Anolis sagrei: one gene and its partner. The protein of the gene in region 2 purifies or fractionates together with the protein of the main gene of each other region. This does not show direct contact. Links are inferred from orthologs where the notes say so. Each region holds a gene or a part of one and is shown on either strand. Other genes may lie near its edges.

Region 1 (7,773 bases), about 87 Mb from region 2:
GTATCAACAAAATCCTACTTTGGATAGAAAAGACTTAGCTATATACTGTTAGCTTGCTTCCTGAATTGCTGCAATAACTTGTATGCAGTCTACCTCTCAAGATGGTCCCAAAACTTCACTTTGTGCACAATGGAGTAACATGATAGTTCATAAGGATTTATGTTTCTGACCACAACACCTCAGTTAGCAGTTCCTAGACCTTATGTGAACTGTTGGTCATAGGATGAGCAAAGTATAGTGGAGAAAACAGGGCTGTGAACTCCAAATATTGCTGAATTGAAACTCAGTTAGCAATTCCTAGATCTTATGTGAACTGTTGGTCATAGGATGGGCAAAGTATAGTGGAGAAAACAGGGCTGTGAACTCCAAATATTGCTGAATTGAAACTCAGTTAGCAATTCCTAGATCTTATGTGAACTGTTGGTCATAGGATGGGCAAAGTATAGTGGAGAAAACAGGGCTGTGAACTCCAAATATTGCTGAATTGCAACTCCCAGCATTCCTTAATAATAATAATAATATACTTTATTTATATTCGCTCTATCTCCCTGAGGGGAGCAGATTACAGAATACATATATGTCGTTATACAATTAACAAAGTCAGACAATACATAGATAGAGGCAAGGCTTCCCTCTTTTTCATTTCTGGCATCTGGAGGCTGTGCTTGACTTCAGTTATGGGGAGGTGCTGTTGTTCCATTTTTCCATGCCGAAGAGCCTGTTGTCCGTCAACACCTTTCTGAAAGAATTGCTGGCATGTCTTCATGGGCACCTTTAACCTCCCCGCCAAAGCGGTTCCTATTGATCTACTCACATTATTGTTTTTGAGCAGAAGCTAGGACTGATGGCGGGAACTCACCCTGACTCGCAAATTGAACTGCCATCCTTCTGGTCAGCAAGATTTTCTGCAGCTGACAGTTTAACCCGCTACTTGCTGGCTGGGATGCTAGGATTTGGTAATTTAGCAACAGTGAAGTTCAATAGTACACTTGCCCAAACTTATTATTAAATAATAATTTTTAGGATCCACAATAGTATAATGGGTGGCTGCCAGAGAAAGAACTTTCTTTCTGGTGGTTCTCTTCCCATGGAATGCTCTCATGAGAAAAATTCACCAGACTTTCTCCTTGGTAGTATTTAGATGCCAAAAACATTTTAAGATTGGGCCAGATATATATAAAAATGTAAATAAATAGGTAGACATTTGGACAGAACTATAAACAGCAGACATTTGTTTTATTACAAGCAGCCCACAGGTTATTCCAGAACAGTCCGGCATGCCAAAATCCTTCACCAGCTGGTTCAAGCCAAAAAATAAACAACTCCTCTTTTGTCCATGTTGGACTGATTCTCTGAAGTGAAGCAATACCATTATGGAAAGATGGGCTGCAATTCTTAGTTGAGGACTCCACAGACACCGCTGGAGGTTCTAGAGTTCTTCCTTTCCCAATGCTTTACTGGTGTGATCACATTTTCCATAATAAGTTCCAAAAGTCTGGTGTAGCTCCAGGATCATCTGCACTTTCCTAGAGTTTACTGTAGGTCACCACAGAAGCCGTGCCTGCAATGCATTGGCTTAGCCTTGTGCCACTGTGATTTTATGTACGTAAATTCTTGTAGCATTCAGCCTAAGGAATGGGTCTGTTATGTCTAGCTAGAGACAGGTACTGAAATGAAAATCCCATGTTTTCTGTTTTGCCTATGTAGATATTTTTATCTGAAAAGTAATTTGTTCAGTAGCAAGTGTCTCATGCCACTTTATACACAAATAGAGCTACATTTCCATACATTGGAGTTGCCTGTATGGAGTATCTGTTCATTGGAAGATAGACATAGGAATATGGTGTGTGTTTGTGTGTAAAGAGTGGGACCAAATGGTAATAAAATGTAAGATTTCTGACTCAGTGATGAATGAAAGTCAAAGGGATGAGATTAATCCCTCACATCAGATGGATGAATTAGTCCCACCCTCATGGTCCCCATGAGCAGGATGGCTCTCTTTCACAGCTGTAGTAAATGCTACAGCAGAAGAGTGGCAGTTGTGGTTCCCTGAAGTAACTTCATTAGTATCTTAGTGTGAGGCTCCTGCCTACTCCGGATTTCGTTTTCAAGTGGTCCCCACAGAGCAAGTTGTCATTGCATCACTCAGAAGGGCCCAACAAGGAAAATCCCTTAGATAGCTGTAAACTAGGCTTCACATCAAGGCATCCAGTTGTTGGGCAAGTAGTGGCAATAATGGAGGGGGAATGGATGGGAGGAAATTTCCCACCTTATTCAGTATTATGCCATCGCTTGAAGTATAAATATACATAAAACAAGCATGATGATATTGTTTATATTAAAGTCCTTGTCAAAAACTACCTCTCCCATTTCAAGGCCATTTGGACCCCACTGATTGAACAGTATAAAAAGAATGGATTTAGTATCGAAGGTCCCTTCTATGCTGGCCTATATCCCAGGATGTGATCCCAGATTATCTGGCAGTGGAGATGCATATAATTGAGTTCAAAGCAGATAATCTGGGATCAGATCCTGGGATATAGGGTGGTGTAGAAAGAACCTTTGCTGCACTTTGTTTCCAAATCGCTTACTCAGAACAGTGGCTCCGAAGTTTTAAGCAAGAACAAGAAGGAAAACATGGCAAAATAACTAATTTGTAAAGTTCCTTAAAAAGAGAAACAGTTGAGGCAGGATATCTTGCCTCTTGAAGGAAATAACTGGCAGTTTCAGCCTGTACATCCTTCAGGGTACAACTTGGGAGGTTTGTCAAGAGTGAACTTGCTAGACAATAGAACTTTGCTCAAATTGTCAAATGAAGGGATATCTATTTCTAATCAGTCCATCTTTTTCATTGTATTTTTTTTAAAGACTGTAAATGTATATAGCTTTTTTTTGGAATAAACTGCAATGTAGACTACTTTATTAAATATTTTATTATATTAATGCACCACTAATAAAACTGAATTGGAAACACACCTGTTCTAAGTCTTGTTTTGGAATGAGTTATTTCACTTTCTGCTTCCTGTTCTTACCAAGCAATATTTAGGTGTCAATTAAAAGCTTTGGGATGGATGGCATATGTTCTGTATCAGAAACTATAGCTGATGTGGTCTATTCAATGTAATTTTCTGAATCAGCATCCCAAACCGAATCTAAAATTGACAAAAACTGACTCATAATGCCTACCTGCGTGACTGCATCTCTGTATACGAACCCACACGATCCCTTCGATCATCCGGAGAGGCCCTGCTCTCGATCCCACCAACATCGCAGGCGCGATTGGTGGGGACGAGAGAGAGGACCTTATCGGTGGTGGCCCCTCGACTCTGGAACTCACTCCCTAAAGACATCAGACAGGCCTAACTGGCAGTCTTCAGGAGGAGCTTGAAGACATGGCTGTTCCAGTGTGCCTTCCGGGAATAATGATCCCATAGCACTTTGTCCTCCAAAGCACCTTACATTACTTTAGGTCTGCTCGTATGCCCTTCCGCAAACACCACTATCACCTTTTCGTCCATGTCCCAGCATTATTTCTAATTTTAACTCTACATTTGGCCTTCCCACTGTTTTTAATTGTGTGTTGTCTTATTGATAATGTTGTATATTTTATTGTCTATGTTTTTATTTTAATTGCTTGTATTGTTGTTACTATTGCTTGTATTGTTGTGTTTGGGCTCGGCCTCATGTAAGCCACACCGAGTCCCTTGGGGAGATGGTAGCGGGGTACAAATAAAGTGTTATTATTATTATTATTATTATTATCCTTTTGGTACTAATGTTGGGAGAGTGGTCTCTGGTCAAAGTGGTCCCTGGTCAAAAAAAGCTTGGGAACTATTGTTATAAATGGAGATGAAATTGAGTAAGTGACTGAATATGTATATCTTGGACAACAAGTTGTTGTTGTTGTTCATTCGTTCAGTCGTCTCCGACTCTTCGTGACCTCATGGACCAGCCCACGCCAGAGCTCCCTGTTGGCCGTTACCACCCCCAGCTCCTTCAAGGTCAGTCCAGTCATTTCAAGGATGCCATCCATCCATCTTGCCCTTGGTCGGCCCCTCTTCCTTTTTCCTTCCACTTTCCCCAGCATAATTGTCTTCTCTAGGCTTTCCTGTCTCCTCATGATGTGGCCAAAGTACTTCAACTTTGTCTCTAGTATCTTTCCCTCCAGTGAGCAGTCGGGCTTTATTTCCTGGAGGATGGACTGGTTGGATCTTCTCGCGGTCCAAGGCACTCTCAGCACTTTCACAACAAGTACAGCCCTATAATTTGGCAAATGGTGAATAGGCAAGACAACCCAAGGTTCCTTGGGCGGCTTTTAATCTAAACTGGACAGTGCTAACATTTAATAATCTGCCAATGAAGGTCTGAGCAGATATACTCAACACTACAGTTCTACCGGCAATATTATATGCATCTGAAACATGAACAACAAAATTAGAGGAGGAAAACTGGTGGTGACTTAGAGCAATGGGAAGGGTGTGGGGTGACAATAAAAGAGCAAGTCAGCAACAAAGAGCTGGCTACTAGTATTAAAAATATTCCAAAGGCTTGTCCAAAGAGCCAGTTCTTCGTTGGCGGCCTCCCTTCCTCCTATTTGCAAAAGGCGCCCCACCACGCGCTTCCCGCCCTTGCTCCTTCGCCCCTCCCCTTCCAGAGCCGGAGTGCGCGCGCAGCCTGCTGGGTCTCGCGCAGCCCGGGGGCGGAGCCACGTCCGCGAGGGCAGGGGCCGAGGCTGAGGCGGCGGCGGACTGGAGGCGCCGCGCCGTTCAGGCTGCCTTGCCCTGCCCCTCCCTCCCTCCCTCTCTCCCGCATCCTCCCTCTCTGAGGGGCCGAGACAGTAGTCCTCCCCGCCGGGCCTTCCCTCCTTCCTTTCTTCCTTCCCTCCTTCTCCGGCATGGCTGCCAATATGTACCGCGTCGGAGGTAAGCTCTCCCTTCGCTCGGCATCCCTGAGGAGACTGGGCCGGGCCTGCTCCGTGAGGCATTGTCTCTGAAGCAGCGAGAAGGCGGGCTGAGGAGTGAGTGGAGCCGCCTCTGGGAAGCAGCTCGAGGCCTCCCCTCCCTCCCTCCCTCCCACCGGCCGGATGCTCCAGGAGTGAGGCTGCGCGGGGGTTCAGCCAAGACCAGGCGCCCTCCAGCTGTGGGGGTCTCCAACTCCCCGCTTGTTCGGTGGGAGTTGTAGGCCCGCGCAGTTGGAGGAGGCCTGGGCTGGAGCTTCCCAGAGGATGCCCGGCGCCTGTCACGTTTGCAGCCCTCTGTGGCCCACGCAGGCCGGTCCCTGAGCCCTTCTGTCAAAGCAAGAGGGCTGATGCCGACTGTGGAGCGCGGTCCCTTTTGTTGTTGCCAACTCTTCTTCCTCAGTAGCCGGGAAAGAGTGGCCCAAGCCCCATCTCCACTGCCTGTTTGGAACTGTATTGTTACACGACAGTGTAGGTCAGGCATGGGCAAACTTGGGACCTCCGGGTGATTTGGACTTCAATTCCCACAATTCCTAACAGCCAGAAGAAGAAGAACTTTATTTTTCTACCCTGACTCCCAGGCATGTAGCCGGGGGGGGGGGGGGGGGCTTGAAGGGCTTCAGCCCCCTCCCCCCCCCCCCCCGAAATGCTCATGGTGGTTCACGAAAAGGCCTTACTGGTGCATTATTTAAACTGTTATGTTTATTCATATCATGATCTGATCACCATACATGCATGGGGGTATTGGGGTAATGATACAAAAGGTTTGCTAGCGTAGGCCCTCTTTCACTCAGACTCAGCCCCCCCCCCCCCAAATCAAAATCCTGGCTACGGGCCTGCCACCTCCTTTCTTACTTAGGTGATCCCTCGTTTTCCGAGGAGGATTGTCTCCCAATATTCTTGTGGGTCCGTATGTGGCTGTGGAGCTCTATTCTTGCTCTGCAACTTCTTTCGCAGTGAGGGCATTGGTTTCCAGGTGGAAGGGGGTCTTGGTCGGGGTTGGCTTGACGTGCCTTCCTCTTGGCACGCTTCTCCCTTTCACCCTCCATTCGTGCCTCTTCAAATTCTGCAGCATTGCTGGTCACAGCTGACCTCCAGCTGGAGTGGTCAAGGGCCAGGGCTTCCCAGTTCTCAGTGTCTATGCCAGAGTTTTTAAGGTTGGCTTTGAGCCTGTAGGACTGAAGACCGACAGGTCGCAAGTTCAAATCCGGGGCAGGCGGATGAGCTCCCTTCTAACAGCTCCAGCTCTTCATGCAAGGACATGAGAGAAGCCTCCCACAAGGATGATAAAAACATCAAATCATCCAGGCGTCCCCTGGGCAACATCCTTGCAGACGGCCAATTCTCTCACACCAGAAGCAACTTGCAGTTTCTCAAGTCGCTCCTGACACAACAAAAAAGAGAGAGAGAGAGAGAGAGAGAAGCCTCCCACAAGGATGATAAAAACATCAAATCATCCGGCCACCCCCTGAGCAACATCCTTGCAGACGGCCAATTCTCTCACACCAGAAGCAACTTGCAGTTTCTCAAGTTGCTCCTGACACGACAAAAAATAATGAGAGAAGCCTCCCACAAGGATGATAAAACATCAAAAATCATCCAGGCGTCCCCTGGGCAACATCCTTACAGACGGCCAATTCTCTCACACCAGAAGCAACTTGCAGTTTCTCAAGTCGCTCCTGACACGACAAAAAAAAAAAAAACTCCCTGAAGGGACTCGGGGCGGCTTACATGGGGCCCAAGCCCAGGCAGAGTACAATTAAAATAAAGCAATAACAATTAAAACCCCAGCAACGTGTCCCAGAAGCACTTTACTAGAGACTTAAGATTGTTCGCACATTGCACTTACCGAAAAATCCTTATATTTCAACTGTCATACTCAGCACTTTTAATCTGTACCCATCTACACTTGGCCCGGCCTTAGTTTTATTGTGCTACGGTGTAATGTTTTTACTGTTTACTGTTATTGCTTAATGTTTTCATTTGTTTTATGGTTTATGTGTATTGTTGTATTGTTGTTTTATTGAGGCCTTGGCCTTTGTAAGCCACATCGAGTCCTTCGGGAGATGCTAGCGGGGTACAAATAAAGTTAATAATAATAATAATAATAATAATAATAATAATAAAACAGCATAAAACAACATAACAAAAATAGCTAGCAACAACAATAACAGCAGACTAATTTTGGGGAGAGGAAAACCACTACGTGAACTAGATAAAGGATAAAGTGGTTTAGTAAGGTAGATGACAATGTATGAAGGCATAGGAAAAATCATGGAAACAGAGCAAATTAACAGTATCAGTTAATATAATATAGGACATCAAATTGAATGACAGTTCAAGTCATAATAAAGTGGGAGTTGAAGTCCAAAACACCTGGAGGGCCCAAGTTTGCCCTAGTGTAGATGGAGCCTCAGTATTTATCACTGTGCTTTGTCTGGAGTGCCATATTTTACATACAGGTGGGGGGGGGGAGTATTTAGTCAGATACCAATTGTACAAGTTCTCCCACTTAAAAAGATGAGAGAGGCCTGTAATTGACATCATCAACTATGAGAGACAGCATGAGAAAACATCCAGAAAATCACACTGTCTGATTTTTGACGAATGTATTTGCAAATTGTGGTGGAAAATAAGTATTTGGTCCATAACAAAAGTTCATCTCAATACTTTGTTATATATCCTTTATTGGCAATGACAGAGGTCAGATGTTTTCTGGAAGTCCTCATAAGTTTGGCGCATACTGTTGTTGGTATGTTAGCCCATTCCTCCATGCAGATCTCCTCAAGAGCAGTGATGTTTTGGGGCTGTCGCTG
Region 2 (7,122 bases):
ACTTTCGTTATGCCTTATCAGCATACTTCAGAAACATTTTCTTTTGGATTTTCTCTCTCTTCCTTTAAGTGTGATGCATTGGTGACTCATCTGCACACTAAAATGGAAGATTAGTGTCATATTTCCAGTCAATGATTTCATTACCTCAGAGGTATCTTGCACTATTATACAAGTTGAGTCCCCCCCCGCATTTGAAATGTTTGGGACACAAAGTTTTTTGGGTTTCAGGACCCCCCCCCCCCCCACACACACACATTTTGGTAAACCTATATTGGCATATTCATTGTGAATGAGGGATAGGAGGGAGGAGGTTAGTCACTGTGTCCAGTGTCCATCCATCCAACCCTGCCTCAGTAAGCCCCTGCCCCATCCCATCACTGCAAAAAACTCAATGGGGGAAAGAAAAGAAGAAGTGGGGAGTCCACTTACACAAGCTCCCAGCAAAAAAGAAAATCCCAGATATATTTCCCTAACTGTCAAGCACAGTTTCAGCTCTTCTAGCAAAGCAGTTGGGTTCAGCGCTAGATTCAGGCAACAGCCAATAGGGTGGCTCCATGTTCGCCTTCTCAACCATTTCCAGGGCACCCGCCTCTCAGTGTGCTTTCATTGGCCAGGTTGGAAGACTAAGTGTCCTGGGTGCCAATCGTTTATTTCCTTTGTGTGGGCTCCCTGAGGAAAAATCAGTAGGCACTTGACATGTGGACTAAACCCTCTTCCCCAAAGATGGAAGTGGGTGTTTGGCAGCCAAAAGTTTCCCTATAAGGGAGACTCAATCAGTACAATTAAAAAAACAGTTCTCTTCACTCCCTCTTTCCTTTACTCTCTGCTTCCTTTGCTATGATACATCGTTTGCTTTGTGTGTTTTGCTGCTTTTGCTCTCATTGTCCCACTGCCTACCATTTTACTTCTTTTAGAGTAGCCTGTGTGTAGACAATTCCCTTCAGTCTGTGTTTCAGCCTTGAATGCTGCTATGCTCTCAGCCTTGATAAGATGAATTCTTGTATGTATTTTACAGTGTTGTGGTTGCTTAAATGTGAAACAGCTTTGTGTGTTTATGGAAAGGGGTTGGTCATGATTTGTATGTGTACGCAAGTGTCTCAGTGCTGGCTTGCATACTCATTTTCTTGCGGGGGGGGGGGGGGAGGGAGGGAGGTGAAGCTTTCTTCACATACTAAGCTGTAACCTTTTCTTGTATTTCCAATAGTCCAGGGAAAAGAGAAAGCTGATGCATTTCTGTGTGAGGTGGCAAGTAATGGTGGATCATAGAGATAACTAGAGAATGGCTAGTTATCATCTTTCCAGTCAAACATACACAATATGTTATTGCGAGGAAAATACGTGATATTGTCATGTGAGCTATCCAAGACTCCTTGGAGAAAGGCTTCTTCCTACAGAGTCAACAAACTGAAAATTGCATCAAATGAATTAGGTTTCAGCAACCATTTTGTAGTACGTACAGTCATACTATTATGACTGATAGAAAAGTCAGATTTGCTCCAGTGTTTCAGCGCTTGTGGTAAGACTAGGTGTTTTTAATTTGTGTGATTTTAAGTATGGAACCTGAAGATTAGCTGGAATAGAATAAAATGCTCTGGTCTTTATGTGGGGCAAATGGAACACTGACTCTTTCAGAAATTAAAAAAGCATTGAGTAGCCATGTACCTATAGCTTTTACTAAACAGTTTCTAGTTAGAATAGTGTATTAACAACTATCATGTTTCTAGCTGTGTGTCATCTCCTATTAGACTATAGATAGATCTGGTAAATCTTTTGTTTCCGGTGATCTTAAGAATTCAAGTTAAATGCATAGTCTTTTTTTTTTACTATTCAGTAGCCATTGCTTCTGCATAATCTCTCATTAATATACTATACCACTTGGCTAGTGTTTCTTTTCTTTGTAGCTGATATTGCAGCATAGGGTTCTATAGACACAGATAAACAACATCACTCTTATACCTACCTACACAGAAAGGTTTGAATGTAACATTTGTTTATCTGTGACATTTGTATATGACTCCATGGATTTTCCATCCATTTTCAGATTACTTTTGCTGCTTCAAGTGGCTGATGCACCCCCCCCCCCTTTTTTTAGAGGTTAGTTTCTCGATTATTCTAAAAAAGCAGGATGAAAAAACACTATGCAGATACATTTGGAGTTTTATTGCTGCCTGTCCATGAAAATGTGGGTAGGATTTGAAAGGAAAAAAATGCTTCCCTCTCAGAGAAGCTGTACAATTTATATGTGAATTGAGCACTACACTTCTTCACTGATACAGCCTGAAAAACAGCTTTGGCATGGAACATAGGGATTCTTCTGAGAGTTTCCTTGTGAAGTGTGAAAATGATTGTTATCTCAAGAAAATGTAACCACAGCATGAAGCACAGTAGTCTAGGATTATTTCTGTGCATTGGATTATAAATGTGTGACTGAATTGAAATCCACATTGAAAAGGTTTGTGTCTGTGTGTACTAATTTTGATTATATCACTTGCTGAGATTTTTGGAAAAATATTTTAACTAGCTTTCATTTGATGTGATTATTAAACCAATCTGTTCTAGAAGGCCAGTTAAAAATAGAGTTGATTTGGTTGTTGGCCTTACTGCTTTCAAGGCACAATGTGCCATTATCTATAGCTTCCTTGTTTATGTGAATTTCCAGTATATACTTCTGGATAATTGCTTGTTTCATTCTGATTTTGATACAAAGCATGATTTTCTTACTATCTGCCTCTTGTTAACCATTTTTTAAATTGTCAATTTGTGCATTTAAAAGATTGCTGGTCGAGTTTTGTTAATGTTTCACTATCTGTTCAGATATGCATTTATCTACAAAATAATTTGCGGATTAAGTTGATTTCCTCCTTACTTGTCTCTTTTGCGACTCCAGATAATTAATTTAAATATAAGCATTATTTGAGGGCATATGTGAAAACCTGTTCTTTGAAATGTTTCATCTAGAACTATTTTGCTTCCCACAGCACAGCAACGTCTCTTGGTAACAAAACTGCAACACAGGCTGTTTTTTTTTACAGGAGAATGAAAGCTCATTTTGTTCTTGGAATACTGTGCTTTAAGAGCTGGCCCTAAATCAAACTGGTTGTTTGACAAATTATGCTCTTGCACTAAAATGACATTTCCTTTTTAAAAATCCTGTCTTTTCAAACGAAATTTTTGTTTAAGGATTTTACATGAAACGTGCTAAATTCAGAAAGCACTTGCATTGTTCCTCCCTGTTGTGAAAGCAGCTCTGGTATTTTTCCACACACTGAAATTCAACCCTTTGCAAGGCCTGCATCTTAAAAAAAAATAAAGAAAGCCGAATGTGATAGGGTTAATGGGCAGGAAGCTGCAGCTGCAGCAGACTAATAGGAAAGTCAGATTTTTGTTTAACTGACAACTTTTGAAGGCCTTAGGGATGAGAGAAGGGGCTGTTTGTGAAAAGAGCACCTCACACATTACTGAAAAACAGCTATTTTCTGCATCCTACATATTTAATTAGGAAATGGGTATTGTAAGTGGTCAGGAAGCCATTGTCCTACGTTAGATTGTAACCTGCATTGTCTGTGTTAGTAAAAATCCATAGTGTGAATTCTTAAATCTCCCTTAAACATTATTAGTATGTGTGGAAGAGTTATGTTTGCTTTTTGAGCTGTGTAGCTGTTATATAACAGATGAACTTCAGCTCTTGGCCTTGTCGTCTGCTGTGTGTTTCACTGCATGCCTTATGCTGTGTTGTTTGTGGGTGTGTGACTGCAAAAATTTTTGCTTCCAGCGTGGCTTTTAGGGGAGTTTTTAAAAAGAAAATTGTTGCTCTCCCCGAAGGCAAAGCAGCTTTGGTGACCTATGGAAACCTGCAGGTTTTTTCAAAACTTAAACAGAACCAACAGATGTCGTTGGAGAAGCGTTTCCTTTGGACTGGCACTTGGTGCTTGCTCTATTCTGCTGAAAAATCTACTCGTTGAGAGTCATTTGCTTGTGTGTGGCTCACGTTTTAAGTTTCTTTTGCTGAAACGGGCCTAGTTTAGCCTGTCTTCTCTGTGCACAGGATGGCTCCTGCTTGCCAGAGCTGCACAAAGATAATCGCTCAGGAAGTGTTTCAGCCAATCCCCTGAAGCTTTACATTCAGATTTTCCAAAGTAGCCAATCCAGGATTAGCTTTTATTAGGAAGACAGATCATCAAGCTGAAGTGCCAAGCCCTTTCTGTCTGAGTACTGAGAGCCTGTCCTCCATGTTTTATAAGTATTGACATAACACTGTGTTAACAATGCATCCACAGAGGTAAGCTTGACTTTTTTACATTTTTTTTTCCTCTGAAACCTATGAGTTGTGGCTTAACAGTGTGATTCTCTGTGATCTGGTTCGCAAAACTGGCCCCCAAAGCACTTTATTAAGTTGAAAATGTTTAAATTTGCTTTCTTGGGTCACATGGTTTAGTAGCCATTAGCCATAGTTTTAAATGTACAGAGTGGCAAAAACGTTTGCATACATACTTCTTCACAGGAGGCTAGTGGGCTGTGAGTGTTTCTCAAGATCCTGCTCTTCCAAAGCAGCTCTCTGTGTCTGAGCAGTTTGCCTGCACTATTGTCTGTTGTGTCACATGCTGCTGGAGAGAAAATGGAAGCTAGGGAGCAGATGCACTGAACTGCCCTACAGGGAGACAAGCAGGGATCATGGCAGACAGCAGAACAGGCAAGTTTACCTTTTCAAACAGGGCAAAGAAGGGCAAGGCAAAGTGATCCTTGAAAAAGCATAGGATTTTTAGCTGCCTGGACCACAAGAAATAGTGCTAATGGGAGATTGCAGATACTGGGCCTAAGTGGTGGAGTGCTATTGCATCATGTTTTTGTGCAGCTTTACCTTAACTTAAATTTGATATTTTACTTTTTCCTTACAGGAGCCTTAGATGCAGTGTGTGTATATTTTCTGGAGGGCAATCTCTTGCTTACCAGCTGTCTCTTTAAAAAGGACTTTTCTTATTGTAGATTGTAGAAACAGTTAAGGTCTAGGTCTGAAGCCATCAGGCATAGCTATGCATATTTCAGTGCCAGCCTATTTAAAGACAACATGTTTTTTGAGCTGTTATCTATGTCCTTTTCTGTAGTACAAGTAAAACTAATGGACTTCTTAAATGTGCTTTTTTCTTTTGCAATATATCAGGCACAGTTCTCTGAGGTGGAGTGATATAAAATCATGTGTGGTTCATGGGAGTATTACATGTTCATTTTTTCCCCCTTTTCTTTCGGGCTCTTCTGATTTTTGGCATGGTGCTACGTAATTATTTCAAAAAATTCCTTTTGGTCAAATCCCAAATCTGCCAGCTTGTTGTATCCTATTTACTGGAAAAATGAGATGGTTGCATGAACACTTGGTAAGTAAACTTGTCTGCTATTCTCTGATCATTTTGCACTATTTTTAATCTTTCTTGCTTTTAACAGGACAAACTTAATCCAGCCAGTTAAGTAAAACTGTGGATAGCTTAGTGAAGTAAAACTAATTTTGTTGATGTTTGTTCAGTATTTGCCTTTATACAAACTGTGTGCCAGTGTGATTTTTCAGTTTTTTCAGAGTCTTCTGCCACATTGTGTACTTCCTGTTTTCCATTGAAAATGAAATTCTGCTTACTCTTTGTTCCTAGATCTTTCTAATTAATGCATTTTTCAGGTTAAAGCTCAATTCAGACTTTCCCCAGGCTTTTGAAGTGTGATGAATGTGCTAGTTCTCTGCAAACTAATCTTGCCACATTGTTACAGGGCTATTCCACAGTTACCCCTCTGCTTTTGTTCTCCTGTGATATATCATCCAGCATGAAATTTGGTTTTAGAGCCACATTTGAGTAACTTGTGCTTTTTAAAAATAATCTGGGGCTGAGACATTTGTAAGCATGTCTCCACAAGCAGCTTTTTCAGTGGACATTTTCTCACAGCATAACAGAGGCTCTGCTGTGAGTTGTCTGTACACAGCCCTGCTTGTTATACAATACAAATGCATTTTGCGAAATGATGCCTTGTTACCATTTATACAGGGATCCCATGCAATTGATAAAACTATTGCCTGTATTTAAAGTGAAAACCCCCAAGTATGTGTATTACTCAAATGCCTCATTCAAAAGGATTCTCTCTTGCCCTCCTCCCCACTCCTAAAAGTGCTGAAGTTCAGTGTTAGGTTTCTCTGCTATTTTATACATTCTTTGCTTGTAGAAGTGATAGCAAGAGATTGCTGAGCAAAAAGTTTAAGTTCTTCTACTGTCAAAGGCATATTTTTGTCTTGTAGCAGGGCATTGTGCATTAGCAGATGGGCGTGGAATCGGAACATTACCCAATATTATCTTATGAAGAAGCAGGAAAAACGAGCAGTGCTCAGAATGCCTGAATTAAAATGGCTCCCTTAGGTTTAGCTGAAGAGGGATGTGTCTCAAATCTGTGCCTCCAGAGATATTGCTGACAGGGGAAAGCATGCTTGCATGGGCAGCTCTTGTGCACATAATAAAACACAGCACCACAAGTCCCCTGAAGTTCACCCTTTTAAATTGTTCAAATGCAAATTCTTTCATAGTTCACAAAATATAAATGTCTGCATTGCAGCAAGATGTCTGAAGCGAGGAGAGACAGCCGTGTTGTTCCCAGGATCAGCCCAATCATGCTGCTCTCCTCAGAGCTGGAGCCAATAGAAAGAGAGGAGAAGTTAAAGATTGACAAATACTGTAGCCAGGCGAAGAAAGGCCTTCTGGAAATTTCTCCCATCTTTGTTCATCTAAGTAAAGCAAATTCAGCCAATCTGAGAATTCCACATAATTCCCAATTCTTTGACAGTGTATTAATCTGTCACATTCATGAATGGCACGCACACAGATAACAGGGTGCTCTCTCCCCCCCCCCCCCCCGTTTTTCAAGCAGGTGATATGCATTGTCTTAAACAGCAGAGGCTGGGTAGGTGGAGGTGCTTTTACTGACCAGACACAACAGATTTTGGTGATGAATGCTGCAGGTCTTGATGGTGACTTGTTTTATCAGGAACCACATAACTGAGCTGTAGTTCTCACCAAAAAACTGTTATGCTAAAATTAAAATTGAGAGCTTAATTCCTCTTTTAATGTTTTGCAAGCTTATGGGCTCCTTAAAATT

Evidence for each region.
Region 1: the proteins of ZMYND8 (region 2) and MTA1 purify together in Homo sapiens (affinity purification with mass spectrometry; 3 studies listed by BioGRID and IntAct, with this or other methods). This does not show direct contact. The link is inferred for Anolis sagrei from reciprocal best matches to the Homo sapiens genes ZMYND8 and MTA1.

What each region holds. Positions count from the first base shown.
Region 1 is NC_090024.1:132,906,104-132,913,876, reverse strand, and holds the start of MTA1 (metastasis-associated protein MTA1), read left to right. Parts: upstream 1-4,700; 5' UTR 4,701-4,894; coding exon 4,895-4,922; intron 4,923-7,773. UniProt on the Homo sapiens protein: Transcriptional coregulator which can act as both a transcriptional corepressor and coactivator. Acts as a component of the histone deacetylase NuRD complex which participates in the remodeling of chromatin.
Region 2 is NC_090024.1:219,448,386-219,455,507, reverse strand, and holds the start of ZMYND8 (MYND-type zinc finger-containing chromatin reader ZMYND8), read left to right. Parts: upstream 1-4,026; 5' UTR 4,027-4,265; coding exon of another isoform or gene 4,266-4,279; intron 4,280-4,501; 5' UTR 4,502-4,598; coding exon 4,599-4,690; intron 4,691-5,158; exon of another isoform or gene 5,159-5,358; coding exon of another isoform or gene 5,359-5,369; intron 5,370-7,122. UniProt on the Homo sapiens protein: Chromatin reader that recognizes dual histone modifications such as histone H3.1 dimethylated at 'Lys-36' and histone H4 acetylated at 'Lys-16' (H3.1K36me2-H4K16ac) and histone H3 methylated at 'Lys-4' and histone H4 acetylated at 'Lys-14' (H3K4me1-H3K14ac).